Kluyveromyces lactis: one gene and its partner. The protein of the gene in region 1 binds, or shares a complex with, the protein of each later gene. Links are inferred from orthologs where the notes say so. Each region holds a gene or a part of one and is shown in the gene's direction. Other genes may lie near its edges.

Region 1 (2,343 bases):
CTGTCGCCGCCTTCGTACGGATCTTGCTGAGCTGGTATATATTCATCATCGTGAATGACGTTATCAAAATCATCATCATTATCGTACCAATTTCTATCTTGTGCAGTAAAATCCTTGGCGTCCTTTATATCTTCCACATCACTACCTTCTGCATCGATAAGTGTGCCTTTGGTCGCTTCTTCTTTTTTTACCATGACCACTGGTTCAGTGTTTTCTGAAAACTCATTCAATTTTGCTGCAGTTTGCTTCGTAATACGTTTCAAAGTCAAAGGCTTGTTGAATTTTGGTTTCACTTGTACCTTCACAGTAGAAAGCTCATCTTCATCGTCGTCTTCCTTGTCATCCAACGGAAGTTTAACCACAAATTTTTTCCTTATGGTTCTTGCTGGAACAGCCGCTGATTCTGGCTTTGGAGACTGCTTATGTGCCTGTAATTTTTCAAAAAGTTGCTTCAAAAACTCATCTTTGCCCTTAAATTTCCCCAAAGCCTTAGCACCCCCGATGAACTTGTTTACATCCTTATGAATACGTGCAATCTGCCTTAAAGTCTCAACAAACTTCTCTGTCACTCTTGATTCCGTATTCTGTTGAATCCATTCTTGAAGTTCTGCATTCATCTAATTCTGTTGCTTGGTAAACCTACCACCTGGCGTAAAACCTGATGAGACAGAGCTGCTAATGAAGTATCACAAGGACTGTTTATGCCATTATTCTTGTCCCATCTCATAGCCTTTCAGCTCTTCCTGTTGTGAATAGGAACGACATTTGATGTTGATGTTGGGATTACCCGGCTTTCACGTGACAAAAGATACAGAATAGTCCAAATTGGCACTTCTAAAAGCTGCATAATATCGCCAATATAAGCCCTATTTTAACAGGTCAGCTCACACTCATTCATAGTACTAATCGATATTATATAGAAGCATCTTCAGGTAGGTATATCCACTAGAATAATCCTATATTTCTCGAAATAAACTGTTTTCCCATACTAATCCTGTCTGTCTCATCAGGATTTCTATCTGAAAAATTTGAAAGCATCAAACTGAAAGATTTAGAGTCTGCAGTGCGAAACATGGTGATTGATAGTTTAAATAACAAGTTTTAGACCCTTACACCAGGCTTATAATCCCCAATTACGCTGTAGAAATTACATTTGACATATTCGCTACAGTATGGTGAGACTATTTTCGACCAGCGCCCGTGCGGCCAAGGATCTTTCAAAGATAATTGATAAATCAGGTAAGTTACCTAAGATCGTTGGACCAGCTACCATTTACAATCCAAAATCATCTGCCTCCAATTACAAAGGTTATTTGAAAGCCAAGATTCCAGCAGGTCTATATTACGATCCAGCTCCATCCTCTATCCATGGTTCTACTAACTCAGAAACGATTCCAAAATCTTTCTTACCGGCCACTGATCCAAGGCACGACATTATAGATGACCTAACGCAAGGTAACGCAGAGATATCGAGGGTAGCGCCAGTGTTACATGAGAAGGGTGAGAAGACCTACCATTTGAAGCCTGAAGACATCGCTGAGATTAGAAGACTAAGACTGGAGGACCCGGTGAAAAACTCTAGAAAAGCTTTAGCAAAGAAGTTCAACTGTTCTCCGTTGTTCATCTCTATTGTTTCTGAACCACCCAAGGAAAGAAAGACAGAAATGAATCAAGTTCTTGAGACGATAAAGAGCCAATGGCATCCTAAGAGAGCATTGGCCAGAGCCGAAAGAAAAAAGAGAAAGGAACTCTGGTACAGAGCATGAGAAAAGGTAAAAGAAAACAACATACTGTATATCTGTAAATAGTAATAAGATAACCATCGACCTTATGTTTCAATCGTTAGTCATCAACTCTATTAAATGGCTTATAACATCTATATATATGCATGTAATATAATACAATGGAAGACGTGCAAAAATTAGTGTCTATCTCAATAAGTTACAGCTGGGGTCATTATCGTTAGGAAAAAATGATACATTAGTACCACTAATACCCATCGTACATCTCTTGGAAAATTTCGTACTCATCTCGGATTCTCAGGATTATATCTTCGAATAACTGCATCTGATACGCATCTTTTATTTGTAGTTCCAATGCAATCTGATGCCTATGCTGTCCCTCGCACAACATTGCTATCTGATACCATTTCTCCCTCCGCTGCAATACCGTATGCAGCTCCTTCAGATTCGATATCACCTGCGTCTCACAGAACAACCTCTCGTCGCTGTTTATATCCTCTTTATCAACTCCGTCCTCTTTATCCGAAACGAATCGAAACCTGTACAGCGACGGTTGCATCATCGTCGACTGATTGGACCCATCCAAATGCAAAAGCTCGTC
Region 2 (2,225 bases), on another chromosome or scaffold:
GAAGTTTGAGATCGAAATGTCACGTCCAGAAGATTTGGCACCACCAGAAGTGTTTTACAATGACAGTGAATCTAAGAAGTATAGTGGCTCCACAAGAGTGCAACATATTCAAGCTAAAATGACACTTCGGGCCTTAGAACTTCTCAACCTGCCACATACATCATATATCTTGGATATTGGGTGTGGGTCTGGTTTAAGTGGTGAAATCATCACTGAAGAAGGACATATATGGTGTGGATTAGACATTTCTCCTAGTATGTTAGCTGAAGCGCTAGAAAGAGAAGTTGAAGGTGATCTTATGTTACACGATATAGGTCAAGGTATTCCATTTAGAGCAGGTGTATTTGATGCGGCAATTAGTATATCTGTGATTCAATGGTTATGTAATGCGGACACATCGTACAACGATCCAAAGAGAAGGCTCATGAGGTTCTTCAATACACTATTTGCTAGTTTGAAGAAAGGAGGAAAATTTGTAGCACAATTCTATCCAAAGAATGATGATCAAATAGACCAAATCTTGGGAGCAGCAAAAGTAGCTGGATTCTCTGGTGGCCTTGTCATTGATGATCCCGAGTCCAAAAAGAACAAGAAGTACTACTTGGTATTAAGCTCCGGATCTACAGAACAGAATGAACAAGTCAACTTGGATGGTGTTAAGATGGATGCAGATCTAATGGTAAAGAGAGAGCGTAAAAAGAAACTAGTTGAATCAAGTAAGGATTACATCAACAGAAAGAAGGAGGTGATGAAAAAAAGAGGTAGAAAGGTAGCTCTCGACTCGAAGTTTACGGGTAGAAAGAGAAGACCTAGGTTTTAGTATGGTCTTGCATATATAGAATTAGTAGATACGCACTTAATACAATCAGCAAACATGGACTGAAACGTTATCATTCATTCACCATTTTCCGTGTCTATTGCATCTGCCATGATCAAAACGTTTAAAATGATCATCAAACCTATGTTGTAGTTTTCCATAGAAAGAACATTCGAAAATTTTGGTTAAAAAAGATGGAAACATAAGTACCTAAGAGTTAAGAAAGCACTGAAGCGCAGTTTATATTTGAGTTTAAGCCTTTACTACCCGTCAGATCAAGTTCCCATTCCAAAACTATATTAGTCCCATACAATGTTAAAGAGACTACTACCTACCGTTATCAGACAATCTGTTAGAAGTTATCAACTTCCAGCTAAGAGTGGAAGAAAGATTATTCCAGTTTACCCACCAGTTGAAAGAATATCCTCCCCATTAGTAGTGAAGACTCTAGCTGATCATGATCTAAAACAACTTGACCCAACTGGTGTAAAAACAGAGATGGTTTCAAAGAAAAACCCAAATCGTCTACGTGCAGGTGATGTTCTTCGTGTAGTTTACGATTCCAAGAAATGCAACTACGATAGTTTTACTGGATATGTGCTATCGGTAGACCGTAAGCCAATAGTACAAGACACATCCATTCTATTAAGAGATTATATTTATAAAACCTGTGTGGAAATGAGAGTGCCAATCTTCTCACCATTGGTAGAGAGAATTGATTTGATTAGAAGAGCGGATGGTAAGAGACGCAGAAGTAAACATTATTACATCAGAAACACCAGATTGGATGTCGGAGATTTGGAAGCAAGTATGAGAAAGAAGAAATGAGCACATTCACACTATCAAACACTTGCTGAATTTTCATAAAATGAAACATGTACATAGAAGCAATTCAAACATATAGTAAGTAATGCTCGATATCAATGCAAACCCAAAGACAAGGAAGATTCAAAGTTGAAAGAGCTCCAGAGTTGAACCATAATGCAAGGTACTCTATGCAGGTCCAGCTTCTCTAGGTAAAGTTATTTGTATCATTAGCATGTCGGGTGGATATATAATTGTATAATCTGTAAAATAAAAAGGCGGATTATGCTAGTCCTTATACCTCATCAAGTGCATCCAATAAGAAAGGAAAATCATGAGAAAGGATAAGCATAAGAAAGGATTTGTACGCTCTATCTAAAACAAAGCTGCATTGAGTGAGCAAGTTGCTCTATTAGAAATGAAAAGATTACAAGCAATTTTGGTCCGCATTTTTGATAATTTATGAAGGTTCTTGATTGGTTCAAAAAAGTAGTGGTATAATGTTATGAAAGCCGTACCAGCCGTCTCTATTGAAAAAAAATTGAAATAAGCTGACATTAAAAAACAACCATAACAGGTAAGGCAGCACGCCCGCATTTTTGAT

Evidence for each region. Proteins that work in one complex are often made in the same cells at the same time.
Region 2: MRPL20 (region 1) and IMG1 share a complex: the UniProt entries of both Saccharomyces cerevisiae proteins name them as parts of the mitochondrial large ribosomal subunit. The link is inferred for Kluyveromyces lactis from reciprocal best matches to the Saccharomyces cerevisiae genes MRPL20 and IMG1.

What each region holds. Positions count from the first base shown.
Region 1 is NC_006037.1:691,434-693,776, forward strand, and holds MRPL20 (mitochondrial 54S ribosomal protein mL58), read left to right. Parts: upstream 1-1,172; coding exon 1,173-1,766; downstream 1,767-2,343. Other genes in the region: DEAH-box RNA helicase PRP16, read right to left, coding at 1-617; KLLA0_A07777g (uncharacterized protein), read right to left, coding at 1,990-2,343. UniProt on the Saccharomyces cerevisiae protein: Component of the mitochondrial ribosome (mitoribosome), a dedicated translation machinery responsible for the synthesis of mitochondrial genome-encoded proteins, including at least some of the essential transmembrane subunits of the mitochondrial respiratory chain.
Region 2 is NC_006042.1:571,880-574,104, forward strand, and holds IMG1 (mitochondrial 54S ribosomal protein bL19m), read left to right. Parts: upstream 1-1,129; coding exon 1,130-1,645; downstream 1,646-2,225. Other genes in the region: BUD23 (18S rRNA (guanine1575-N7)-methyltransferase), read left to right, coding at 17-820. UniProt on the Saccharomyces cerevisiae protein: Component of the mitochondrial ribosome (mitoribosome), a dedicated translation machinery responsible for the synthesis of mitochondrial genome-encoded proteins, including at least some of the essential transmembrane subunits of the mitochondrial respiratory chain.